Rattus norvegicus: one gene and its partners. The protein of the gene in region 1 interacts with the protein of each later gene in a biochemical or structural test. Links are inferred from orthologs where the notes say so. Each region holds a gene or a part of one and is shown on either strand. Other genes may lie near its edges. The genes, in order: Smurf1, Ube2d1, Plekho1, Rhob, Ube2d2, Ube2d3 and Pdlim7.

Region 1 (3,500 bases):
TGTAACATACTAATTTATTGAATTCCATTGTGATCCAAGTATAAAATGAAGACTTAGATACATCTAAAGCATAATTAAGTCTTCTCACTGTAGAGCCTCCCACCTGTGTGTTGTGTAGGGACTGCATTTACTCAGTAGTCACCAGATCTGGGGACCCACAGTGACCTCCGTGTGGGTGCAGGTGCATGTGTGCGCTCCCAGCCCCCATTCTCTTACACTCTTACCTGACAAAGGAAGCGAGCAGAGAATCACACAGGCAGCAGGGAGCACACTTCTGTTAGACCCACCAAGGAGGTCCCTGGTCCTTAAAGGGTGCTCGACAGAAGTACAGATGGGGAGCCTCGAGCCGGTTTGGTCTGACATATCTGTATCTTTTGTGTGTTTCCATCCCTTTCCTGTACAGATGGTTTTGGTCTGTGCTGCCCTCCTCAAACCTGCCTCCTTTCTGTTTGAAGAGTCGGGATCCACACTGAAATCTAAGCTGTGCTCTGGAGCTCAGTCTTTTGAAGGCGCTGTGGCCCAGTGTCTTCAAGACTGAGCCCACCCCGCAGCAGGGCCCCCAACCCCAGTTTGGTTTCCAGTGGAAGTGGTTATTGTGTTTGGCTGATTTTAGGTTTGTTTTTTCTTTTTTAAGATAAAGTGATTTAAACATTAAAGGAATTTAGAAACTTAGTTACCCAGTGCATACCTGCCAGACTTCTAAAACCTCTGTGATGTTTTTGCATTCATCTAAGTTTTCTTTATATTGCACAGTGTGAGTGGCCTGAGGCATTGGCTCTGTCTGGAAAGTGCTTGCTCTGAAAGCATGAGGACCCAAGTTCAAGCCTTAGAGCTGGGAGGTGAGGCAGGAGGATCCTTGGGGCTCGCTGGCCAGCCCGCCTCCAAAAATCAGCAGAGCGATTGAGGAAGACAGTGAGGCAACCTCTGCTCTTCATGCGCGCACACACACACACACACACACACACACACATACACACACAGTCACATACACAGTCTCACACAGTCACACAGAAAATGTAGAAAAGGAAAGTGTTCTGTGCTTAGGGTCTAAAGTCAGAATTCAACAGGAAATTAGAAGGGCATAGTTGTTCATAAATTCTCTATGTCTCCCTAGAGCTTGAAATGTTCACCTACCAAACTCTTATTATAGAATGCTTAGAAACTCCCAACTGGCAGTGGTGGCTCACACTTTTAATCCCAGCTCTTGGGGGACAGAGGGAGGCAGACCTCTGAGTTCAAGACCAGCCTGGTCTACAGAGGGAATTCCAATACACACTCAGGACTACACAGAGAATGCCTATTTTGAAAAATCAATCAATCAATTAATCAATCAATAAGCAAGCTGGAACTGGAATGGTGGTTGGCAGTTGAGAGCACTTCCTGCTCTTTCAAAGGACCTGACCTTGATTCCCCAGCATCCACAAGGCACTTCACAACCTCTTATAACTTCCGCTCCAGGCATCTGATGCCCTCTTCTGGCCTGCTTGGGTACTGCATGCACATGGCATTCATTCACACACATCTTTAAAGCAGTCAGAAAATGATGCCGTTAGCACATGTGAGCGTGTTATTATTGTTCCAGGGAGTGGCTGTATTTGTTGTGCCATGAAATGTTGAATCCGTATTATGGACTCTTCCAGTATTCCACGGACAATATTTACACACTGCAAATCAACCCAGATTCTTCTATCAACCCTGTGAGTATTACCATGAGGAGTTGAGAAATCCAGCTGTAGTTCTAAGGCAAACCTGGGTCCCCTAGTTATGGGTGACTTAGAGAAAATGCTGGGGAGAGCTCAGGGCAAAGGCGGGGAGTACTGACTGACTGGACCAGACTCTAGTCAGGTTTAGATCTGGAACCTGCAGGGGAGGACTGTGGGTCTGAGCTGCTCTGTGCCTGAGTCCTTTACCCTTTGAGGGGACTCTGGTATAGTGGGAGATGGTGGTCTTTTGGATGTCATCTTAAGAGCTAGGTTACCAAGTCAATTCGCTGATCAAAATTGGAAAAGTTTCATAATTAGCTCTCTTGGGCCACAGCTGTGAGCATTCCACATGCGGTAGGCACAGGGACACATCTAAGGGACCTCCTACACCCTGGAGGTCACAAGGCCACAGAGTTGAAATGAGGGACTATCTCTACTAGAGAATTAAAATACAAATGAACTGTGGTTGGGAAAGTGGTTCAGCCACACAAGCGTAAAGACTGACGTGAGACTGCGAATTCACTGCAGAATCCACATAGAAAGCCATATGTGACTGGGCACGGGGTTACATATTTTAATTCCAGCTCTCAGGAAGCAGAAGCAGGCCTAAGAGCTAACTCTGAGTTGGAGGCCAGCTGTAGTGAGATCAAGAATAGTTGGGGCTATGTAGAAAGACCCTGTTTTCAAACACCAAACAAACAACAAAAACACAGACGCCAGACATGGTTGTACATGCGCTGGGGAAGTGGACCTGGGTGACTCCTGGAGCGCACTGGCTGGCCAGCCTAATCTGTGAGATCCAGGTTCAGTGAAAGATCCTGGCAGCACTGGGCAGCAACTGGGGGATGAAGGTGATCTTCACATTCACCACACATGCACATCCACACAGTGAATAAACCTTTACCCAGCCTGGAAACTAAATCCTGACACGTTTTCAGAAACACACGAGCTATGAGTGCTTAAACTCCAGAGCCCCTCCAGCTGAGGAGGAAGAAGCACAGCCTTCCTAACTGTCGAGGGCTCCGCATGTTTACTTTGTACCAGGCCCCTGCACGCTAACTAAGTTCTCAGTGTTAGGCCAGGGCGTGTGTGCTGGTGCAGTTGTCATCCCAGTACTCTGAAGGCTGAGGCAGAAGGATTGTGAAGTACCAGTCCCACTTGTGTTAGGAGTGAGTGAAGCTGGAACTCAGTGGCAGCCTTCCTGTCTGGCCGTGGGTAGGTGAGGGATGGGCAGCTGAGTATATGTCCTGTTGGGTGTAGAGTCACAGGAAGCCTGTGGGAAGTGGGTATCCTCGCCTACTCGTCATCTTCCTAATGTCCGCCTGCCGTTCTCTGGCGCCCCCTATAGGACCATCTGTCTTACTTCCACTTTGTGGGTCGCATCATGGGTCTGGCTGTGTTCCATGGACACTACATAAACGGGGGCTTCACAGTTCCTTTCTACAAGCAGCTCCTGGGAAAACCCATCCAGCTGTCGGATCTGGAGTCAGTGGACCCAGAACTTCACAAGAGCTTGGTGTGGATTCTGTAAGTGTCACCATCCTTTCCCACAGCTCAGGATGCTGTTGGGTGTGCATTCTTTTGGGGGAACAGGTGTGAAACTAAAGAGAGTAACAGAATTAACTATAACAACATCCAACATTGGGTTGCAATTACAAATTAACAAAACATGTCATCATTTAATTGATTGTATTCTTTTCATAAGCTGGTTTGGCTTGTTATTAGGTTTGATTACAAATGCCAGTAACTTGCCTGGTTTCGTGGGGGTGGGGTGGATGGAGATCATGCACCCCTAAA
Region 2 (3,500 bases), on another chromosome or scaffold:
TTTTTTTTTCTTTTTTTTTTCTTTTTTTTTCGGAGCTGGGGACCGAACCCAGGGCCTTGCGCTTTCTAGGCAAGCGCTCTACCACTGAGCTAAATCCCCAACCCCGAATCCAGTGTATTTCTCAATTGCTTTCCATGTTATTCTTGAGGTAGGGTCTGTCACTGAGCCTGGAACTTAACCAGTTCAACCAGGCTGGCTGGCCATTAAATCCTGAGGATCCTCCTGTCCCTCTCTCTCACCAGTGCTGGGAGTACAGGCTTGCCTCGCTGCATGCAAATTTGTACACGGGCGCTGGGTATTGAACTTGAGTCCTCCTGGTTGTGCCGCAAGCACTTTGCGGACTGAGCCATCTCTCTCTCCCAACCCACCTCCTCTCTTTGCACAGATCCTAGGCTCCTTCAAGTCATTCCTTAAGTACCCATGTTTCCAAGCTCTCACTTTCCCTCACTGGACTGTTGCTTCCTGGAAGACGGGCCTTGTTTGTTTGGGTCTGGAAACGAAACCTGGGGAGTTCATGCATGCGTTACTGTGCCAGCCGGGACCTGCTTGTTGGTATCATCTGCCTAGCAAAGACATATGTGAACTTGCATAAGGGTGTAGTAGGGATCTTAAAGGAAAACACTCTTGTTCTGCTTCGTCCTTTCAAAGGCCGGGGCTCTCTCATCAAGGAGTTTAACACAACTTCCTTCTTCTCCCCATAATGGCAGGGTCCATGATGAATAGAATCAGCCTAAAATAATTTAAAGAGAAGCTGCTAGTCTGTGTCTTTCTGGGTTCTTAGGGCCTGCTTCCCCAGAAAGGGAAGGATTAACTGCAAGTGTTTCTGCTCTCCCTCAGGAATTAAGTGATTTACAGCGTGATCCACCTGCCCACTGCTCCGCGGGACCCGTGGGAGATGACTGTAAGTTTATTCGATTGCTCGGTTTTGCTACCGTTGAAGGGATGGCTCTGAGTAACTGTAAGTGACTCCTGTTCCTCTGTATTGCAGTGTTCCATTGGCAAGCAACCATCATGGGGCCCGTAAGTACAACTCACTCGTGTGGATTGACCCCCCCCCCCCGTGCCTCTTCTGCACTCTTGGCTTTTGACCCGTAAGGAGATGTCCCTGACTCAGGATGAATATTCTCGTCCTCTGAAATCACCCAGGAAGCAAAACATGATCGAGGGTTTGAAGTGATTTTTCTAAAGCACGGCTGGCCAATGCCTCCTGGGTTACCTGTGCTAAAACCTCCTCGTTCCATAGCAAGGTTTCCATAGCTCTCTGTGCAAGCAGTCTGTGTGTTGGCCTTATTAATTCTTAACACAGCATCAGTTGTTTTTAAAAGAGGTGGGGTCTTCCTCACACACCCACGGTTTTCAGAGGTTTGAAATAAGTGTGACCCAGGAGTGGAATTGCTACATCTGGCAAGCATCAGTTTGCAGTAGGTCTCCTTACGACTCTTGACTTGAAGTGGAGGAGTCCTGCTGGGTGGTGTCTCGGTCACCTCTTGAGTTTGCTGCTTGGCCTTAAACGGCAGACGACTGTCTTATCACTGGTTATCTGTATTTCTCTCCCCACCCGAGAAGCAGCACTGGCAAATGAAACGGGCTTTCCCTTTCTACGAACAAAATACCGACAGTGAAAGAGCAGGCGCTCGGTGAGAAGACGCTAGCAATGTTCTTCCTGAATGGCCTTACAAACGTCCTCTGGGATGCTTTATGACTCAGCCATTGCTTTTAAATCATTTGCCCTGTAATCCAAACCAGGGAAAAAAAGATGCTGAATTTCAAAGAGTCGTCCCTGGGGAATTATCCTAAATGACTAAATTAGTCTATTAAGTTAAGAGGAGAGAGAGAGCGGCGTATTTACCTAACAGTCGTCAGTAAGAACATAGTTCTTCCAGCTTTGTATTCATTATCCACATGAACCTTCAAAGCCCCATCATCCAGAGGTGCGCCTCCCAGTCAGAGCTGTGGCCTCCACGGTGTTTCTCAGGCGAATCATGTGTAGCAAGCAGCTGTAATGTTGTTTTGTGTGTCCCTCTTACTGCAACAGCCTAGACACGCTCCACCATCCTCTATAGTCACCCAACTGTCTGTGGGGACCTTGCTTGTCTTTGTGATCTGTTTACATTTTTTTTAGCGTTTAATGAACTAGAATTAAGCAACGTACTAAGGCTAATTAGACAATATAACCCTGTAATCTTCATGCAGAACTTCAAGCACTGAGAGAACGACAGACCTGTCTTTATTACCCATGATGCATTCCAGTAAATATGAAGGAATTAAAGTACAATTTGAGGGGGATTGGAGAGATAGCCCAGAGGTTAAGAACACTCACTGGCTGCTCTTCCAGAGGTCCTGAGTTCAATTCCCAGCAACCACATGGTGGCTCACAACCATTCATAATGGGATCTGATGCCCTCTTCTGTTGTGTATAGTCATAACATAAAATATATGTATATATGTACTCATATACATAAATTTAAAAAATAGGTTTTGGAATATATTTTGCTACTATTTTTGTTTTTTACCCTTAATCTTTCTCTTTCGTTTATGTATATTTCGTGTACATACAACATAGACACATATATACACATACATGTATACACACAAACACACACACATGTACACATATATACATTTACACATATATACACATGCACACATATAACACACACACACACACACACACACACACACCATTAAGCAGCTGACTGGGCCTTGCTAAAGTTGATTTTTTTTTTTCTTTTCTTTTTTTTGGAGCTGGGGACCGAACCCAGGGTTGCTAGGCAAACGCTCTACCACTGAGCTAAATCCCCAACCCCGCTAAAGTTGATTGTTAATTTGACATATCACAAATACTGAATTCATCCAGCTTGATTTTGGAGTTTGTATATCTTCTGCAATATAAAGTCCTAGCAAATGAATATTGAGGTAAATTGTACAGTTAACCCTCTTACTAAACTTTTTTCCTTTTGGTTATACCTGCGTGGACATTATAATCTAATATTTGGAAATTAAAAAAAGGTAAACGTTTAGTTGTTACCTTCTAAAAACAGCGATGACTGCTGAAGAGAGTCCTCCTTCCTCCCAGAAGTCCTCATGCGTACACTGGTACCCACAAATCTGTCTGGTTAAATCACACTGCTGTGCGCATGCGCGTCTGCGCCTCTTTAAACTCGGTGGGAACCCTGGGTAACTTCATACCTGGGAAGGAGTCTGCTCTCCATGTAAATTCCTTCAGCCCATGCTGCAAGGATCGTTTTGTTTTGTTTTGTTTTGTTTTGTTTTGTTTTGTTTTGTTTTGTTTTGTTTTGTTTTTATACACGCTAATTCTGAGGGTCCTTGGCACGGTTAACGCCCTGGGGATGGTTCAGAGGGTTGAGTATGTGCCTTAGCCAGACTCTGATGTGCTTTCTCTGTGTAATTTCAGCCCGACAGCGCCTATCAAGGTGGAGTCTTCTTCCTCACTGTCCACTTTCCGACAGACTATCCCTTTAAACCACCAAAGGTATTTA
Region 3 (2,680 bases), on another chromosome or scaffold:
AGGGAGCCCTAGAAAGGGGAGAGCACTGGAGAGCCAAACCTTGCCAGACAAATGGCAGTAGATGAATTGTCCCTGCGCTCCCCCCACAGCGCATGTGCTCAAAAGGATGGGCAGATCGGCGACAGGCTGGTAGACGCCTCCCTTGGCAGACAGACAGGGACCTCCTTATACATGTTTGCGTGGTTTCAACTTTTTCCCGGGGAAACATGACCATCTCGTTCCTGGCATATTCCCAGCCAAGTAGAAAAGGGAGAGTAGCTGCTCAGGAAGTCTCCTATGACGTCCTACGTTAGAGAGAGCAGGTGGAAAGGAACACTCTGCTAACCGTATTCCCTAAGGCCAGAGGCAGCCCTTTGTCTCTTCCAGGTGTTGGCTGCCTTTCCCCTTCCCCTGGACTATTAGTGGTCACTCTTGTCTTCTTTACTTGGAAGGATCAGAGCAGCCCACTACTGTGCCCCTTTAAGGGCATGCCCCTTTAAGGACTTATAAGCTGTGTTGTCCTTCAGAGACCCAGAGTGAGAGCCACGGGTAGAGGGAGGCACTGGGGTGGTAGCTTGTGGGGAGTGGGTTAAACAGAACCCCATACAAGGACTCAGGTCTCAGTCCCATCCCCCAAGTACACAGCTTGGGTGGAATGGCTTTCTGCTCTGTTACCCTCCCCTTTCCCCGGGAGGAAAGGCAGAGTAATTTTATCCTTATGACACCCCAACCTCCCGTAGGTAAAAGATGAGAAAAATAGTCAAGAGGTGTTTGACCTGAGTGACTATGAGAAGTGCGAAGAGCTCCGGAAATCCAAGAGTAGGAGCAAGAAAAACCACAGCAAGTTCACACTGGCCCGATGCAGACAGCCGGGCACCACGGTAGGCTCTCCCTCACTGCAGTCAGTAGGCTCTCCCTCACTGCAGTCGGTAGGCTCTCCCTCACTGCAGCCGGTAGGCTCTCCCTCACTGCAGTCGGTAGGCTCTCCCTCACTGCAGCCAGTAGGCTCTCCCTCACTGCAGCCGGTAGGCTCTCCCTCACTGCAGTCGGTAGGCTCTCCCTCACTGCAGCCGGTAGGCTCTCCCTCACTGCAGTCGGTAGGCTCTCCCTCACTGCTGCAGTCGGCAGGCTCTCCCTCACTGCAGTCGGTAGGCTCTCCCTCACTGCAGTCGGTAGGCTCTCCCTCACTGCAGCCAGTAGGCTCTCCCTCACTGCAGTCGGCAGGCTCTCCCTCACTGCAGTTGGTAGGCTCTCCCTCACTGCAGTCGGTAGGCTCTCCCTCACTGTAGGCTCTCCCTCACTGCAGTCGGTAGGCTCTCCCTCACTGCTGCAGTCGGTAGGCTCTCCCTCACTGCAGTCCTGGCCACAGGGCCCACAATTATTCTCTCTCTGGCTTCTGTTATTTAACTGGAGAATATTCTGACCATTTCCTTTCCTCCAGGCAGGCTAGCCTATAACCTATTCAGCCATAGATTGATATCTCCCTCCCTCTCTCCCTCTCCCTCCCCTCCCCCACTTTGCACACACACACACACACACACACACACACACACACACACACACACACACTGTACATACGTATGAAACATTATTGGTGCTTCTTCCCTGATGTGTCTCTGAAGTTCAAGGGAAGCCAGGGAAGCCAAGCTTGCCACACCCTGTCCTCAGACATCTAAAGATCCTGACTACCTGAGCGCAGTCAGTCACACGTCCCAGTGTCATCATCGTAGCTCCCTTCCACCTTTCTAAAACAACCTGTGCATTTTGCTGGAACAGGCTTTGGGCTCCTTCAGTCACTGATGTTCCCAGAAGCAGAGTCTCCTTCCATGAGCGGGACCTGAGGGGATGAGAGGATTATTCCTTTTGGGGGGGAGGTTATAATTTATTTGTAAAACCCTAGCTAAAACAAGATGGTTCCCTTCACAGGCCCCCAACCTCATCTTCCTGGCAGTAAGTCCTGAGGAAAAGGAATCATGGATCAACGCCCTGAGTTCTGCCATTACTAGAGCTAAAAACCGCATCCTGGATGAGGTCAGGGGCTTGTTGTGGGAAAGGGGGTGGGTGCTAGGGTGGAAAGCAAGCTGTGACGGACGGACAGACGCACTAGTCGAGGGGGGTGCTTTGTGGGGCCCCTCTAGGTTCCCCCAGCTCTACTTTCTTGGCTTTTTCCCCCCTTTGGTTTCTTGAGTCAGGGTTTCTCTGTGTAGTCCTGGCTGTCCTGGAACTCCCTCTGTAGACCAGGCTGGCCTCGAACTCAGAGATTCACCTGCCTCTGCCTCCCAAGTGTTGGGATTATAGGAGTGTGCCACTATGCCCTGACTTTCTCAGCTTCTTTAAAGGCTCTGTTGTGTTGTCTCCCCACCCCGCTTTCTCTCTTAAGTCTTTTCTCTGCTGATTCGAACCCCACACACGCTTCACAATGCCTGATCTAGTCTGGGGTCAACTGTGTCCGTCAATCCGTCTACCCACATCCCTGCTCAGAAACAGTGGGCAGGATGGCCTGTTTCCCAGTCCAGGGAGACTCAGTTGGGACAGAGTCCTAAAGAAACCCTGGGACTCACAGTGCATCTCTTCAGGTCACCGTTGAGGAGGACAGCTATCTTGCCCACCCTACCCGAGACAGAGCAAAAATCCAACACTCCCGCCGTCCTCCAACCCGGGGACACCTCATGGCTGTGGTATGTACAACTGCACGAAAGTA
Region 4 (4,001 bases), on another chromosome or scaffold:
TTTTCTTAGCTGGTACCCTTAGCCTAGTCCTCCATGAGGGACCCCAAGCAGCTATATTAAGCCATTTTCTTTCCTCTTTTTTCCCTTTGTTCAGTTTCTCTTTTCGGGGGAAGACCCTCCGTAACTCCCTTTGCTGCTTTCTGCCTTTTCCATTTCTTACAATGGACTGACTTAAATCCTTTAAGATAGGAGGAGGTGTCATCTCCTGCAGGATGGGCTAATTCACCAATTAAGACCTGGTGTATGCCAAGAAACTTTATTCTCTACGTAGTAACCATGTGCCCGCCTGCAAGTCCCCTGTGAGGCTGACTGCATGCCTATTTCCCCAGCTTTAAGCCTTTCTCCTCGATGAGAGTTGTTGGAGTGGATGGGTTTTCTTGCACAGTGTACTTCAAGCAGTTCTCTGGCTTTAGGACTGGAATCAGATGTAATGTCGTAGAACTGGGTGAAGGTTGCCTAAAATGGATGGTTTCTTTTTCAGCGGAATGCCCTCTGTACCTCTCTTTCCTTTGTCCTACAGCTGTGCCTTTTCTAGATTCTCATCTTCTTCACCCGGAGACCTAAGTGCGGGCCTTGAAGAGAAAAGCCTAGAGAGGACTCACCCAGGCCCACACAATTTACTGTGGGCTTCTCTCTGTGCAAAGGCTGCCTCTGAGAAAGTACCAGAGTTCGGCCCAGAGCAGAAGAGGGTTTAGTCACCTAAAGAAAGTAAGAAAGAATGAAACCCTTGGGGTAGGTAACCAAAAAAAAAAACAAAAAACAAAAAACCGAGCATGGGTGTCTGTTTAAGTGAAAACATGATCTCCTTAAAGGCGCTGCCCCTCCCCCCATGTTTGATCGGGAGTTCGATCCGAAGCTAGATAAATATGAAGCTGTGGGAGCAGCCAACGCCCCACAAAAGTGTAGCTCGTCTCGGAACTGCCCGCCCAGACCCGGAGGGCTCCAGGCTGCCTGATCCACAGTGTCGCGCTCAGAGAGGCTGCTACGAAGGCGGAGACCCGGCTGCTACACAACCCTACCCGGCGGTCGCTGCGCAGACTCCACAGTAACCGCCTCTCCCAGCCCGGCGGACAGGGCTGTCAATCAAGCTGACGGGAACCCGCCTTCGGACTGCAGCCGTCGGCCAATCGGAGCTAAGCTCCGCAGCGATGAGCTCAGCCCTGTGGCTTCCCATTGGGTGGCTATATTAAGAAAGTGGCCGGACTCTTTAAATAGCGGGCGCTAGGGCCGCAGCCCGCATCTGCCACCGCAGTCCGCTTGTCGTCGTCTGCGCCCCTGTACCCTAGGTCTGGAGAAGAACCCGCCCCGGGAAAGAAGCTAGGCCGGGTCCGCAAAATCAGCCATCGACTCGCACAAAGCAGCGCGACTCCGGGACAGCCGAGAACACTACCCGGCAGCAGCGCGGCGACACTCCGTGCATCGTATGCCCCTGCGCCCCTGCCGCGGCAGCCGGAGCGCCCCGAGAGAACGCTCCACCGCGGGGTCCAGGTGCAGTTAGCGTGCCTAGCCCGCATCGCGCGGTCGCGGGAGAGCGGGAAGCGGCAAGCAGGGAGCGGGACGGCGGCGAGGCGCTCGCGGGCCCCTCCTGCTGCCCGCGCCCGGCGAGCTCATGGCGGCCATCCGCAAGAAGCTGGTGGTGGTGGGCGACGGCGCGTGCGGCAAGACGTGCCTGCTGATCGTGTTCAGTAAGGACGAGTTCCCCGAAGTGTACGTGCCCACCGTGTTCGAGAACTATGTGGCGGACATCGAGGTGGACGGCAAGCAGGTGGAGCTGGCGCTGTGGGACACGGCGGGCCAGGAGGACTACGATCGTTTACGGCCGCTCTCCTACCCGGACACCGACGTCATCCTTATGTGCTTCTCGGTAGACAGCCCGGACTCTCTCGAGAACATCCCCGAGAAGTGGGTGCCCGAGGTAAAGCACTTCTGCCCCAATGTGCCCATCATCTTGGTGGCCAACAAAAAAGACCTGCGCAGCGATGAGCATGTCCGCACGGAGCTGGCCCGCATGAAGCAGGAGCCAGTGCGCACGGATGACGGCCGCGCCATGGCGGTGCGCATCCAAGCCTATGACTACCTCGAGTGCTCGGCCAAGACCAAGGAGGGCGTGCGCGAGGTTTTCGAGACGGCCACGCGCGCCGCGCTGCAGAAGCGCTACGGATCCCAGAATGGCTGCATCAACTGCTGCAAGGTGCTATGAAGGCCGCGCCCTGCCTCACGCCCTTGCCAGCGTGGCTCCCCCTCCTTGGCCCGGTCGCCCACTAACCGGGAGAAAGGGAGACCCGTGCCCCCGAGGACACCACCAGACTGCCTGACATCTGCTGGTGGCTCTGGCTGGTCACGCTGAATATTAGCGTGGGCACCGAGCTCCCCCCTTCCCAGTGTCTGTGTGTGTCCAGCTGTGTGGCACAGGCCTGGGCGCCCTGCTGAGTGCCAAGGGGTTCCTGAGCGTCCTTTTCTAAAGAGCCAGGCCTCGAAGTGTGGTTGTGTGTGTGTACGACTCCCTACACCCCTACCCCACTCCTGCCCCACCCCCGCCTCTGGTTTCCCCAGGGGCATGCAGAGTGGTTGAGCCCCAGCAGATGTTCGCTTGTAACCAGCAAGCCACTACTGTTGCTCCATGTCTGTAACATAGACCCCCTGGAATCACGGGAGGGGAGGGCTGGGGAGGATGGGGATGTTACATAAATACAGATTTTATTTTCGGAGGCAGAATGGTATTGTTTAGTGGTGAGTGGTGTGACCAGGGCCCATGAGCAACTCTTCCCAGGCTGGGTCAGGAGCCCACCCATCCAAGCATGAACTGGACTCGGCCATCTTTCCACACCCTGGGAAGACATTTGCAACTGACTTGAGGTTGAGAGGAAGCAGCTCCCAGACACAGTGTCTCCTGGGCCAAGCCCCAGCGAACCTCCTTTCCAGCCACCTGCAGAGGATCCAGGGTGTGCTGTGGGGTCACTTTTGCCATAAGCGAACTTTGTGCCTGTCCTACAAGTGAACATTGTTCAGTCGAGAGACTATTGTTGCTGAATTTATTTAAAGGCTGAAGCTTTTTTTGTTGTTGATGAAAGAATTCTTTGCACAATTGTCCCATTGTTTGACACCCAGTGCACTTGTCATTTGCATAAGGCAGCATTTTGACCACACTTGTATGCTGTAACCTCATCTACTTCTGATGTTTTTTTTTTAAAACAAACTATGATGACTTTAAGGAGATTACAAAAAAGATTCTAATTTTTGCTTTGTTTTCTTGAAAAAAATGTCAACCATGTGACTTTTTAAAAATTTGTGTAGCATACACACAGTTTTGGTAAAGGAAGGCAACACGTATTGGGGTCTATTTAAACCTCCCTCCCTCTCCCCACAAGACAAGTCTCTTCATCTATGTGAAATTTTCTGTACATTCTCTGTGCAGAGCAAAGCTTCCTCTTCCTTATTCCCTCCTTTCCCAGCCCAGTGGTACTTCTACTAAATTGTCTTGTTTTGTTTTTGTTTTATTTTTTTTTAAATAAACTGACAGATGACAAAGTGGTGAGCTTATGATGTTTACATAAAAGTTCTATAAGCTGTGTATACAGTTTTTTATGTAAAATATTAAAAGACTATGATGATGACATTTATAAACGGCTCCTGTGGCTTAATAGTGTCATAGAAAACGTCTGAAGTGGGGGGTAAGGGAAGAGACCCTTTCTGGAAGTAACTGCTTCTATATGGTAAATATGGTCAATGAACCTAGCACCTTTTAGGGGTTGGGTGACCCCAAGAGGCCAGGTTATTCCTGTCCGATTCCCTGAGGCGGATAAGCTTGTCAACCAGACACCCAGAGTGTACTGATTATTGTGCATTTAGTCCTATTACATGAGGCCAAAGATCTTGGTTTGACTTCATCTGTAGGTCTTTTAAAAAGTATCTGAGGTTTATTCTGGGGTGCTGCTTGTCTCACTTTGACAACAAGAACATTAAACCTAGATGACTTTTTTTTAAAATGTTTTTAGGGGTGG
Region 5 (3,500 bases), on another chromosome or scaffold:
CTAAACTGTTCTTTTTTTTTTTTTTTTTTTTTTTTTTCCTTTTCTTTTTTTCGGAGCTGTGGACCGAACCCAGGGCCTTGTGCTTGCTAGGCAAGCGCTCTACCACTAAGCTAAATCCCCAACCCCTAAGCTAAATCCCCAACCCCTAAACTGTTCTTCTTTTTTTTTTTTTTTTTTGGTTCTTTTTTTTCGGAGCTGGGGATCGAACCCAGGGCCTTGCGCTTCCTAGGTAAGCGCTCTACCACTGAGCTAAATCCCCAGCCCCCTAAACTGTTCTTCTTTTTGGTTCTTTTTTTTTTTTTTTCCCCCGGAGCTGGGGACCGAACCCCGGGCCTTGCGCTTCCTAGGTAAGCGTTCTACCACTGAGCTAAATCCCCAGCCCCTAAACTGTTCTTCTTAATTTGAGTATGTAGACCCTTTCTGCCATATGCCAGTGTTACTTAAGTATATTTTATGCAGTTGTTTTAAGGAATGATTAAATCTTGGAGGTAGGCTGGTTTTGGTGGTGCATGTCTTTATCCCAGCACTCCGAAGGCAGATCTCTGTGGGTTTTGGGGAAGGGGGTTGTTTGGGATTTTTTTGTTTGTTTGTTTGTTTGTTTGCTTGTTTGTTTCATTTAGATTTATTTAATGTATATGAGGACTCTGTCAGCATGAAAGCCTACGGATCAGAAGAGAGTATCAGATCCCATCATTCGTGATTGTGAAATGCCGGGTAGTTGCTGAGAACTGTACTTGGGACCTCTGAAAGAACAGCTAGTGCTTTTAACTACTAAACTATCTGTCTAGCCCTGATCTCTGTGAGTTTAATGCCAGCCTGTACTATAGAGTGAGTTCCTGGACATAGAAAACCCCCGTCTCAGAAATAGAGAGAGACAGAGAAGAAAGTCAGTCAGTCAGTCTTGGAGGCAAATAAGTAAGTTTTAATAGTACCTAGGTAGGGCCTTTCTATGGGCTTTGTCAACAGATTTATCTTCCAGGCATGACTTTGAGATGAGTTTTTGTTGGTTAGTTAGGTTAATTTTGTGGCAGAATCACTGTGTAGCCATGGCTCGCCTGGAACTCACTATATAGACCAGGTTGGTCTCACACCCTTTACTTAGCCAAAGAGAAATTTAAATTTAGCATTGTGTACCTCAGCTTTGTCAACATTGTTGTAGGCATGCTATATCACCATGCTTAGTTCCAAAGACTTTATATTTACTTTATGTGTGTGTATGTGTACATGTACAAGACATATTTGGAAGCCAGAGAACAGCTTGGGAGCAGATTTTCTCTTGCTCTGGGAATCAAACATGTCAGGCTTGATAGCAAACCTTTTCTTACTGAGCCACCTTTCTGGCCTCAGAAAAATGCCCTGGATCTTTATAGTTTTGTTGGTGGTTTGGTGGTAATGATGTGTATAACATATGTTAACACACGAGTTCTTCTGTTTGGAGACCAGGAGAGGGCATTAGATCCTTTGGAGCTAGAATTACAGGTTGTTAGAAGCTACTCTGATTCAGAGTGTGCATACTTAACCAGCTGAGCCTCTCTCTAGCGCCTCCAAATATTTTAAAACCAACTGTCTGATTTTTTTGTTTGGTTTTGGTGGGGTTTGTTGTTGGGGTTTTGGGGATTTTTTTGTCTTTTGTTTTGTTTTTGTATTGGTGGTTGTTTGGGGGGGCTTTAGAGATAGGCTTTCTCTGTAACTAGAACTCAAACTCTGGCTGGACTCTAATTCAGAGATCTACCTGCCTCTGCTTCCAGCGGCTTTCAGATTAAAGGTAGGCACTGCCACACCCTGCTGACTTGTCTGTCTCTTATTTTTAATGGTTTAATCTTCATCCTGCCCATAGAAACTAGGTGTTATCATACTATTTATAAATAAACTATTTATAAATGAGCTTTGATTCGGTACTGGGAATGAGAGGTTCTACGGTGTAGGTGTAATGCAAATATTGTTAATTAATATGGTGACTTTTTCTTTCTTTCAGTGTTTCATTGGCAGGCTACAATAATGGGGCCAGTAAGTATTCACTTTAATTCCTTAATTAATAATTGTTTTATGTAATTTATTCATTTTTAATCTCACTCTCTTATCAACAGAATGACAGCCCCTATCAGGGTGGAGTATTTTTCTTGACTATTCATTTCCCAACAGATTACCCCTTCAAACCGCCTAAGGTAATTAGTATATGATCATTGCTCTTAAGATGCTCTGTATGGTACTGGTAAACCAATCACAAAGATTTCTTTTTCTTCAGGTTGCATTTACAACAAGAATTTATCATCCAAATATTAACAGTAATGGCAGCATTTGTCTTGATATTCTACGGTCACAGTGGTCTCCAGCACTAACTATTTCAAAAGGTAATGCAATAGTTGTTTGGTATCAAGGTGAAATAACTGATTTTTATGCAGGGTGTAGATGTGTACACCGTTGATACCAGCACTGGGGAGACAGAGACAGGCAGGTTTCTAAGTGCCAGGGCTGTGTAGTGAGACCCTGTCTCAAAGAGGAAAAAGTAACTGCTTTTTTTTTTTTTTTTAAAACAGGTCTCTGTTGGTCTATCTTGTTAAAATTATCTTTTTTTAAATTAATTATTTTTTGTATATTATATCTGCATGTATATCTTTGCTCTGTGTGTGTGTGTGTGTGTGTGTATGTGTGTGTGTGTGTTGCCCCCAGAGGCCAGAAGAGCGTGACCTGTTAATTGAATTATAGAGTTAGAGTGAGCTAGCATATGGGTACTGGGAAATGAGCAGCCATTGTTCTTAACTGCTTAACTTCTTTCCAGTCCTGGCTTTTTTTTTTTTTTTTTTAAATAACTCCTGTTTCCTTTTTAAAAGGACCAGTCTAGGGCTGGAGAGATGGCTCAGTGGTTAGGAGCACTGACTGCTCTTCCAGAGGTCCTGAGTTCAATTCCCAGCAACCACATGGTGGCTCACAACCATCTGTAATGGGATCTGGTCCCCTCTTCTGGTGTGTCTGAAAAGAGTGACACTGTACTTACATAGATTAAATAAATCTTTTTTTTTTTTTTTTTTTTTTTTTTTTGGTTCTTTTTTTCGGAGCTGGGGACCGAACCCAGGGCCTTGCGCTTCCTAGGCAAGCGCTCTACCACTGAGCTAAATCCCCAACCCCTAAACTGTTCTTCTTAATTTGAGTATGTAGACCCTTTCTGCCATATGCCAGTGTTACTTAAGTATATTTTATGCAGTTGTTTTAAGGAATGATTAAATCTTGGAGGTAGGCTGAAAAGAGTGACACTGTACTTACATAGATTAAATAAATCTAAAAAAAAAAAAAAAAGGCTGGGGATTTAGCTCAGTGGTAGAGCGCTTACCTAGGAAGCGCAAGGCCCTGGGTTCGGTCCCCAGCTCCGAAAAAAAAGAACCAAAAAAAAAAAAAAAAGGGACCAGTCTCCCTTAGTTTGTAATAGTATTTGTTGATACAATGGAAAACAGTTGAATTTTGGAGAATTGGTCCATAGTAAGATGCAGGTTGTTGATTGTGAT
Region 6 (4,056 bases), on another chromosome or scaffold:
TCTCGCGATAACTTGCGGATTTGGGGGCGGGCCCCAAGCCAGGAAGAGAGCACAAAACTGCCCTTAAGTCATTGCAGACCCGGAGCTCCGGTGAGCCTGCCACGAGGTTCTCGCGAGATCCGCCGCCTCCATCCCAAGTGAGGAAACGGGGGGCCACAGTAGGGAGGGGCGTGGGGCCTCAACCGCGCAGCTGCCGCTTCCATTACCTTCCTCCTAAGGTCTCCTTCCGGTTCTCGATGCTTCTCTGAGTCTAAGGGTTTCCGCCACTCGTCTACCCTCCCCCTCAGCCCATGACCCGCCTCCGTCCCCCGCCCTCCCGGTCCGACCTCCGATCGGTTTAGTAAGAAGGTGCTGTTCGGACAGGGAGACGGCAAGAGGGTGGCGCGTCCACTCGGCCTGGACGAGGGAGGCAAACCGCTCCCCTTCAACCCTCAGCTCGCCCTGCGCTCGCGACGGCGGCGTTGGCGGACGGATACGCGGCGGTGAATAGGCGGGGGGAGAGGGGGAGGGGCGGAGCGTGGCAGCTGGCAGTAGTTCCGTCAGAGCGGACATCTTGTGGCTGTGCCGTGCGCGTGAGCCCCGTAGGGCCGGGGAGGCACCAGCTGCCGCGCGGGGAGGAGGCCGAGGCCGCAGCTCGAGGGAGGCCCCGGCCCTCTGTACGCGTGGGTGTGGACAGCTCGGGAAAGGGGAGGGAGACGGGCCGGGGCCGGCGCGGCGCCCCGGGCTGTGGGCGGCCCGAGTGGGCAGCCCTCGGGGCTGGGTGGGGTAGGATGGGAAGGCCGGCGGAGCCCGGGCCCGGCTGAAGGGGGAGGGGGCATGGGCGCGTCCTCGCGCCGGAGCTCCGCGGCCGCCGGGCGCGTGGAGAGGTGGCTGGGCGCGCGCACGCAGGAGCGCGCCGTGAGGCGGAGAGTACGGTGGTGTCAGGGGCGACCCAGAACAGCTCTAGCTGTGGGGACAACAGCACACGCGAGTCTAATTGCCTTCTGCTGGCTCGCCGACCCTCGAAGCAGAAACCGAAAGAAGCCCGGCGTCGGTCCGGAGCCTCCCGCTCCCCTCCCCCTTGCCTTTCTTTGCCCTAGTGACGCCGGCCTAGCGCCGACTAGGCCCGGGCTCCTCCTCTGCCGGGCTCTGGACCCTGCCCCGCACCCACCCCTTTCTCCTCCGCCTCTTCCTCTCCCACCCGGGGCTCTTCCTTTCAAGAGGCCGGGAAGTTAAACTTGTAACCACCTCTCGGCTCTTCCCGTCACCCTCGCCCTCTCTGGGCGAAGCGCGGATATAAGTAGCTGGTGGCTCTGCCACCCCACCCTGCCCGGATCGCGACGGTTTTCAGGGTTCTGGAATCAGCAGGGTTCCTCTGAGGCCTTGGCGAGTGGCTGATCTGCTCCGTTTTTGCAAAAGGCGCCTGTGTCTGGCAGAGCCGGTGTGAGAAGAAGAGAGAATCCTTCCCCGCCGCCGGGATAATCAAGAGTTTTGGCCGGACCTTTGAGTACACATCGGGATAGTGAGAAGCCCGGCGAAAAGCACAGACTATGGCGCTGAAACGGATTAATAAGGTAAGTTGTTGGGACTAAATGTTGCGGATGGGGTCGCGGGAAGAAAGGCTTGGTGCCCAGAGAAAAGCCTGGAGAGTTGGATTCTGAAAATACCTTACATGGGGTAAGAGAAGGCAGGGGCACTTTGAAATGAGCTGTAAGATAGGGAACGGAATGGTTTTGGCAAGCGAAATGTTTGTTTCACTAGAATCTGCTAGTATGGGTGAGGGAGCGTGGCATTTATTTAGTCTCCTCAGTTTTTTGCCTAAGAGTCAGGTTTGGGGAGTAGAATTATGTACAGGCCTCGGCAGATGCCATGGCACTGCTTCCTATTCTAGGTTCTTCAAAACATTTTAGCTATTAAGGCTATAGGCATTCTAAAGAAAGGAATGTAACAGTTGAAAGACGTTTTGTTCCAAACTTGACTGAGAGTCGGGGTATGACAAACATACCTCAGTTTGCTAAAATGCGGTGACGAAGTCTGTTCAGAAGCTTAACCAAATCTGGGCAGTTACACAAGAGTATGTGGGGTTGGGAGGAGGTGGACCGACACTGTTGCCACTTCCTGTGTTGTGTGGTCGCTGCTTTCACCCAAAGCTATGTATCTGAGGCACCAGGAACCTATATGTAAAAGCCTTCTGAAAGATTCCGGGGTTGGGGGTGTTTGACAGTGCAGGGAAACTGGATGGAGGACTGCTTTGCTTAGAACCCCCTTCCTTAAGGAGGCTTGTTTGAGCAATTCACTAGAATTTGATAAGTCGTTGCTTTAATTTGGAAAGAGCTACGATTTTTCCAGAAATACAGTGTAAGTGGAGCCACTTCTCTGGTGGTTTTTGTCTCGTTTTCTTGCTCTAACTTCTATCCCGCATTTTAAGATGGCGGCTGCTTTAACTGGCTCAGGCTCTTCCCGGCATCTCCTTTTCTAACTATAAGATAATGGTCTCTGTTAAGCGTTAGTTTTTTTAATCCGGTTGTAGGGAGCTCTCAGAGCCTCTGCTCCCAAGACTAAACCTAAATTCAAACTCTCAGACTAAGTTTCTGTGTGTGTGTGTGTGTGTGTGTGTGTGTGTGTGTGTGTGTGTGTGTGTATTTTGTATTTGGTTCTTTCACAATCGAGAGGGTGGAGTATTTACAGCCAACTTGAAAAAAAATGTGGAGTAAACTCAGTCCTAATAGAAAAGACAAAATGGGAAGGTTCGGTATTAGAAACTTTGACTTAGCACAGTTTTTAAAGAGTTCTGTGGAAAGGCGAGGACTTGGATTGACTATAGGTCTAATACTACTGTATTTGTAGTTATTTTATATTATATATATATATGTGTGCGTGTGTGTATATATATATATATATACATATATATATCTTGATCAGCTTGATTGGAAAAAGCTGTAGTTTCTGAAAAGTTAATTCTTACCTGAATATATTGTTGTTGAATCTTGAATTCTTAGGACATCCTGGTAATCTTTGTGGTTTTATGCAAAACACTTAACTGAACTGTTTGTATTCTTGATGATAATGGAAAGAGAAAGAAAACCTTAGAATTCAAGACTTCAAATAGATAATAGATAACATTAAAATTACCACTTAGTGTGACAATTTTGAGGGTGAACCTCACATTAGAGATGCATTATTGTGCTTTATAGCATAATTAATACAGAAACTATATCATTCAGTGTTAATCAAATTTCAGATCCATAGTGTAAAACGAACATTTTAAAGGGAGGTCTTACTGATTTTTTTTCTTTTTACAGGTGATACTCAGCTGTTTTGGCAACATTTTAATGACTTAAAAGCTCTAGCGAGGCAGTAATGGTTAAGTGTAAACATTTGTAGTAAAAAACATGAGATAGAATCAGACTCTAAGCAAGTTTATCAATTTGCCTAATCTGTACTAGGAATTTTTCTAGCTACTGGGATGGCAAGAGAAAACATATTTTTGCAAGTTTAAAGAATTATGTATGGATATTAAGAGGTAAATTTTTTATATTCGAAAACTGTTTATATGCCAAATGGCTGATGCTTCTACCTGTAGGGTATTCCAGCATATCATGGTTTTTCCTTCAGATACTGTCAGAACCATGAAGCAACTTAAAAAATGGCACCCAGATGCAGGAATAGTTTGTGAAAGTACAGAAGGAGGATCCTTTTCTTCTTAAGGCAGTATTGTCATGAGGTTTTTTTGTATTGTTCCCTGTTTAGAATTTATTCTTCTGGTTCCCCCTAAACAAGTGTTAACAAGCCATTACTATTTTTATTAAAATGCAACTGAGCTTTAGTGATAAATGGGTATAAGTTGATACTTTTATCTTTTTTTTTCTTTTGTGTGTTTGCTTGACTGTTTCTTAGCTCACCAAACAACCATACGTGTATTCTTTTGCTGTGTTTGTAATTATTTGGACTAAATTGTAGTATGGTGCTGTTATTAAATGGGTATTTTAGCAGCTGAATTCCAAATCTGTGTTTTTGGAACTTTAAGAAAATTTACTGCTACAAAGCAGAATGACTGTTACATAATTGGGGGACTTT
Region 7 (4,029 bases), on another chromosome or scaffold:
GCTGAAGAAGGGTTTTTTTTTCCTTCCTTCAGTTTTTTGAGACAAGGCTTCATTATGTAGCCTCAGTTGCCCTCAAACTCGTTCTGTAGATCAGACTGGCCTTGAACTCAGATCCACCTGAAGAGGATTTCTCCAAAGGTGACAACTTCCATAGGCCAATGTGTACTCAGGACAATGACGGGGAAGAGGGTGGTGCAATGCCAGTTGGGGGCTGGGCAAGGGGAGACTGTGCACCTCACTACTCACTCAAACACTCAGGAGAGCTCAGCTTTTCCTTTCTGCCCACCCTTGGCTAAAGCTGAGGATAAAGGAGGGCCTCTGAGGGCTGGAGGGATCGCTCTGCGGTTAAGAGCACTGACTGCTCTTCCAGAGGTTCTGAGTTCAATTCCCAGCAACCACATGGTGGCTCACAACCATCTGTAATGGGATCTGATGCTCTCTTCTGGTGTGTCTGAAGACAGCTACAGTGTGTACTCTGGACTGGGTGTAAATAGGAAACCATTCCAACAGTGGTTCTGGGAGCTTGGGTGAAGTCTCAGGGCTGTGGGCTGCTGTCTGGATGAACTTACACTGTCAGGAAACAAGTGGAGCTAAGTCCGCCCCCGTTGGCTATGTATGTATGTATGTATGTATGTATGTATGTATGTATGTATGTACGTACGTATGTATATATATTCACTGAAGCCCCTGCAAGCCTTTAGTTGGGTTTGGGGTTGAGGACTGAACTTAGAGCCTCCAACGAGCTCTACCACTGAGCTACATTCCGAACGCCAGGAAACGTAACTTGAAACTACCCTGTCTCGCTTCTCCAGTTCCTGGAGAATCCGAAATCTGATGGTGCTGACCACATCGACCTCTAACAGTATCCCTAACAGAAGTGTTAATGATGCCACTTTCCCCTACAAGGAAGAGTAAGGTGAGAGAAGACCAATCAACTTGGGTGTTTCAAAGGGATGCTTTTCCTCCACTCCGCCCGTGGGAGGCGCAAGGGGCTCGGGCTAGAGCCTGGAGTAGGGCACAGGCTGGGCAGGGACGGGGCTGGCGAGGGTAAGTGCCTGACATCGCCTTCCCCCTCCTGGAGACTCAGGGCTTCTGGACTGGGTGGGGCCTCCCACCGACCCCGGTCTGTCCACTCGCTTGGCCTGGGGAGGGCGTGGTCTAGGACTCCGCCCCCTTCCGCGGGCTCAAAATGCGCGGCGTCCGCGGAGGCGGGGTCAGAGCGCAGCGGCGGATCCCAGCGCGGCTCCTGGAGGCCGCCAGGCAGCCGCCCAGCCGGGCATTCAGGTACCGGCGTCCGCGAGGGGGTTCCTGGGCTGCATCCTACGGGGTCCCATGGACTGCTGAGGCGCTGGGGAGGGTGTGGGCGGTCGTGGAGTGTGCCAGATTCACTCGGCTGGCTCGGGCCGCAGCCTCCGCCCCCGCCTTCCTGCGGCGAAGTGGGGCTGATTGGCGCCTGCGCCACTGTGTGCGGTGGGGACGCAGCCAAGCGCGCGGGGCTGGGGCGGGAGACGAAGGGAAACAGAGTCACGTTGGCAAGGGAACATCGTGCGTGGGTGGCACTACTTTCTCTGGTTTCCAGAAAGGATCCCCTCTCTAGCCATGCGTAAGGGACATGACCCCCGTCGCTCTCCACAGGGCCAGTACCCCAGTTTTTCTTTTCCCCTTGCAGAGCCCAGGGGTCCCGCCCTGGCCACCAGCAGCCCCGACCTGTCCCAAAATGGCTAGGACCTGCTCCAGCGTCCTCCTTCCCCACCCCTCCCCCTCATATCCCAAGCCCCTAAAGTGCTCCCTCCTCGGGCTCTCCACAGTGTCAGCTTACACGCCTTATATAGTCCGAGCAGGCTCCAGCGGCGGCCTGCCTGCCGGGACCCGGGGAAGGAGGGGGAGCTGGCCCCTGACTCACCCCGCCGCCCTCCTGAGATTCCAGGTTAGCTTGGGCAAAGCAGTGCCAATTAACCCTACAGCCAACCCCTGGAAGAGAAAAGAAATTGAGCTTGATGAGGACTCTTCTCACCCTCCCAGTGGCAGCGGGCAGGGTGGGGAACCAACTTGCCTGTTGTCTGCTAGAGGTCGGCCTGCCAGGAGCCCAGCCAAGCCAGACGAGATACCTGCCTCCCAGTGCCTGTGTGTGCTTAGCGTCCGCCCGTGCCTTCTTGGTACCTGGCCAACACTAGTGCCCAGATCTGGACCTGCCTGCCAATTTGCAGTGCAGACACTTTTCTCTTCTTTCCTCACAGGAGCAGGTACCATGGATTCCTTCAAGGTAGTGCTGGAGGGACCTGCCCCTTGGGGCTTCCGTCTGCAAGGGGGCAAGGACTTCAACGTGCCCCTCTCCATCTCTCGGGTGAGCCTTGGATGGGGGAACAAACTCCCTAAGGGTTCTTGGGTGCTCAGGTTTCGAGCAGATCATGGTGGGAAACCACAGGAGCAAGCTAGGACCAAAAGGACAGGAGTGCCCAGATCCAAACAGACACTACAGAGACTCCCAACAGGGTGCTCCCAGTTTCCCCACTTTGGCATGGTATTTGATGCTATTCCACCCGTGGCCGCCCACCTATGAGTGCCAAGGGGGAGATCCCTTCAGTACTGGAGACTGATGACTCCGAGAAGTGTCTTAGTTGGAAGAGCAGCGAGTGGAGCCAGGTCCCCAGCTGGATGTAACTTTAATTTCACTGCTATTCAAGGGATAGCAGTTGTCATGTTTCACCAAGTGATAGAATTTGGAGGTGTGGAGGAGCACGTTCAGCAGGTCCACAGCAGAGCAAGGGTTTGAACTGAGGCACAAAACGGACGGCTTGTACTCTCTGTATGTGTAAGGACAGGGAACTCTTGCCGCCACCCTGTTTGAGGGCTGAGTCTCAGTCAGCTGGTGTAGCGGGCTGTCGTGACCTTTGACCCTGAGCAGAGGTGTAGCAAGGCGGGCCTGTAGGATTCTCGGTCCCATTCCTCAGTCCACCCTGGTGGGGAGGGTGGAGCTGGGAGCTGACTCCTCCCTGTGGCAGGGGGGATTGCCTTATAAGCCCAAGAATGCAGCCCCAGCTGGGATGGCCAGTATTGGCTAGTCAAGAAAGCCCAAAAGGATTGGCCTAGGTCTAGGCCCCTCACCTGGCCCTCCGTCATTGGTGTCAGTAGGACTCAGAGCAAACTTTGTGCCCAGAGTGGGTGAAGCCAGCCTTCTAGCTTGGTATCTACAACTAGCCTGGGGGATGAAAAGGGGGGCAGGGACTTCCTGCCCTGACATCCGCTTGCCTAGAGAGGCCCACCCAGCCACAGTGTAGGCTGTTGGCAGGCAGCTGTTGCCCAGGGCAAGCCCAGCCCAAATGGGCCTGAGAATTTCCAGGCACTACTCAGCCTGAAAGGGGTATCAAGGCTGTTTCTCTCTGGGAGCCAGACATGGTGGTCAGGGCGGGCAGGCATGCATGCTGGCTGTGTTCTTCCCAGGATACTTCTCTGGAATTGCCTTGGAATCTGCTCCAACCAGCAGGATGACTAAGGGCTGTGGACCCTTCCCCCACACATTCAGCCTACATTTCCCCTCTGGGAAAGTGCTGGCCAGTGTGCTGTAGGTCTCAGTTTCTTCACTGGTCATGAAGGCCTTGCAGATGTTGCTGGTTTGGGGGTACTCTGGCCCCTGCTGGCCCCTGGGCTCCTTTGTCAGAGGCCTTAACATGTGGGTGGGGCCGCCCACTGAGCCCTGCCCTGGAGTGAGTTAGGCCCTGATGGGTGGGGTGGTCTTTTCTAAATTGGACCAGCCCGCTATCCCTCCCCTGACCCCAGAGTGGAGGGAGGAAGGAGGGGCTAGGGCTGGCTGAGGGCCCAGGCCTGGAAGATGAGGTAATGTCTGGGATTTGGGGGTTGGGCTGCTCAGTGGAGCTCCCAGGCTGACTCACCCACACCCATAATACTGTCCAGCCCCCTGGCTTTTCCCCTCCTTAATCTCACTAACCTCTCTTTTCCAAAATGGTCCTCCCCATGGTGCTCCTCTCTCCAACTCTGACGGACGGCTTACCCCTCACATGCTTCTGCCCT

The links.
Region 2: the proteins of Smurf1 (region 1) and Ube2d1 form a complex in vitro, tested with the Homo sapiens proteins (3 studies listed by BioGRID, with this or other methods). The link is inferred for Rattus norvegicus from reciprocal best matches to the Homo sapiens genes SMURF1 and UBE2D1.
Region 3: the proteins of Smurf1 (region 1) and Plekho1 form a complex in vitro, tested with the Homo sapiens proteins (4 studies listed by BioGRID and IntAct). The link is inferred for Rattus norvegicus from reciprocal best matches to the Homo sapiens genes SMURF1 and PLEKHO1.
Region 4: the proteins of Smurf1 (region 1) and Rhob form a complex in vitro, tested with the Homo sapiens proteins (2 studies listed by BioGRID and IntAct, with this or other methods). The link is inferred for Rattus norvegicus from reciprocal best matches to the Homo sapiens genes SMURF1 and RHOB.
Region 5: the proteins of Smurf1 (region 1) and Ube2d2 form a complex in vitro, tested with the Homo sapiens proteins (3 studies listed by BioGRID). The link is inferred for Rattus norvegicus from reciprocal best matches to the Homo sapiens genes SMURF1 and UBE2D2.
Region 6: the proteins of Smurf1 (region 1) and Ube2d3 form a complex in vitro, tested with the Homo sapiens proteins (15 studies listed by BioGRID, with this or other methods). The link is inferred for Rattus norvegicus from reciprocal best matches to the Homo sapiens genes SMURF1 and UBE2D3.
Region 7: the proteins of Smurf1 (region 1) and Pdlim7 are reported together in a solved structure, tested with the Homo sapiens proteins (2 studies listed by BioGRID, with this or other methods). The link is inferred for Rattus norvegicus from reciprocal best matches to the Homo sapiens genes SMURF1 and PDLIM7.

What each region holds. Positions count from the first base shown.
Region 1 is NC_086030.1:14,829,043-14,832,542, forward strand, and holds part of Smurf1 (E3 ubiquitin-protein ligase SMURF1), read left to right. Parts: intron 1-1,582; coding exon 1,583-1,697; intron 1,698-3,051; coding exon 3,052-3,230; intron 3,231-3,500. UniProt on the Homo sapiens protein: E3 ubiquitin-protein ligase that acts as a negative regulator of BMP signaling pathway. Mediates ubiquitination and degradation of SMAD1 and SMAD5, 2 receptor-regulated SMADs specific for the BMP pathway.
Region 2 is NC_086038.1:17,332,459-17,335,958, forward strand, and holds part of Ube2d1 (ubiquitin-conjugating enzyme E2 D1), read left to right. Parts: intron 1-27; exon of another isoform or gene 28-108; intron 109-837; coding exon 838-901; intron 902-988; coding exon 989-1,020; intron 1,021-3,415; coding exon 3,416-3,493; intron 3,494-3,500.
Region 3 is NC_086020.1:186,235,615-186,238,294, reverse strand, and holds part of Plekho1 (pleckstrin homology domain-containing family O member 1), read left to right. Parts: intron 1-719; coding exon 720-860; intron 861-1,905; coding exon 1,906-2,010; intron 2,011-2,555; coding exon 2,556-2,657; intron 2,658-2,680. UniProt on the Homo sapiens protein: Plays a role in the regulation of the actin cytoskeleton through its interactions with actin capping protein (CP).
Region 4 is NC_086024.1:37,082,530-37,086,530, reverse strand, and holds Rhob (rho-related GTP-binding protein RhoB), read left to right. Parts: upstream 1-1,326; 5' UTR 1,327-1,609; coding exon 1,610-2,200; 3' UTR 2,201-3,501; downstream 3,502-4,001. UniProt on the Homo sapiens protein: Mediates apoptosis in neoplastically transformed cells after DNA damage. Not essential for development but affects cell adhesion and growth factor signaling in transformed cells. Plays a negative role in tumorigenesis as deletion causes tumor formation.
Region 5 is NC_086036.1:27,669,399-27,672,898, forward strand, and holds part of Ube2d2 (ubiquitin-conjugating enzyme E2 D2), read left to right. Parts: intron 1-1,975; coding exon 1,976-2,007; intron 2,008-2,087; coding exon 2,088-2,165; intron 2,166-2,245; coding exon 2,246-2,351; intron 2,352-3,500.
Region 6 is NC_086020.1:226,541,938-226,545,993, forward strand, and holds the start of Ube2d3 (ubiquitin-conjugating enzyme E2 D3), read left to right. Parts: upstream 1-1,256; 5' UTR 1,257-1,529; coding exon 1,530-1,553; intron 1,554-4,056. UniProt on the Homo sapiens protein: Accepts ubiquitin from the E1 complex and catalyzes its covalent attachment to other proteins. In vitro catalyzes 'Lys-11'-, as well as 'Lys-48'-linked polyubiquitination.
Region 7 is NC_086035.1:9,128,579-9,132,607, forward strand, and holds the start of Pdlim7 (PDZ and LIM domain protein 7), read left to right. Parts: upstream 1-1,229; 5' UTR 1,230-1,284; intron 1,285-1,800; exon of another isoform or gene 1,801-1,927; intron 1,928-2,237; 5' UTR 2,238-2,248; coding exon 2,249-2,344; intron 2,345-4,029. UniProt on the Homo sapiens protein: May function as a scaffold on which the coordinated assembly of proteins can occur. May play a role as an adapter that, via its PDZ domain, localizes LIM-binding proteins to actin filaments of both skeletal muscle and nonmuscle tissues.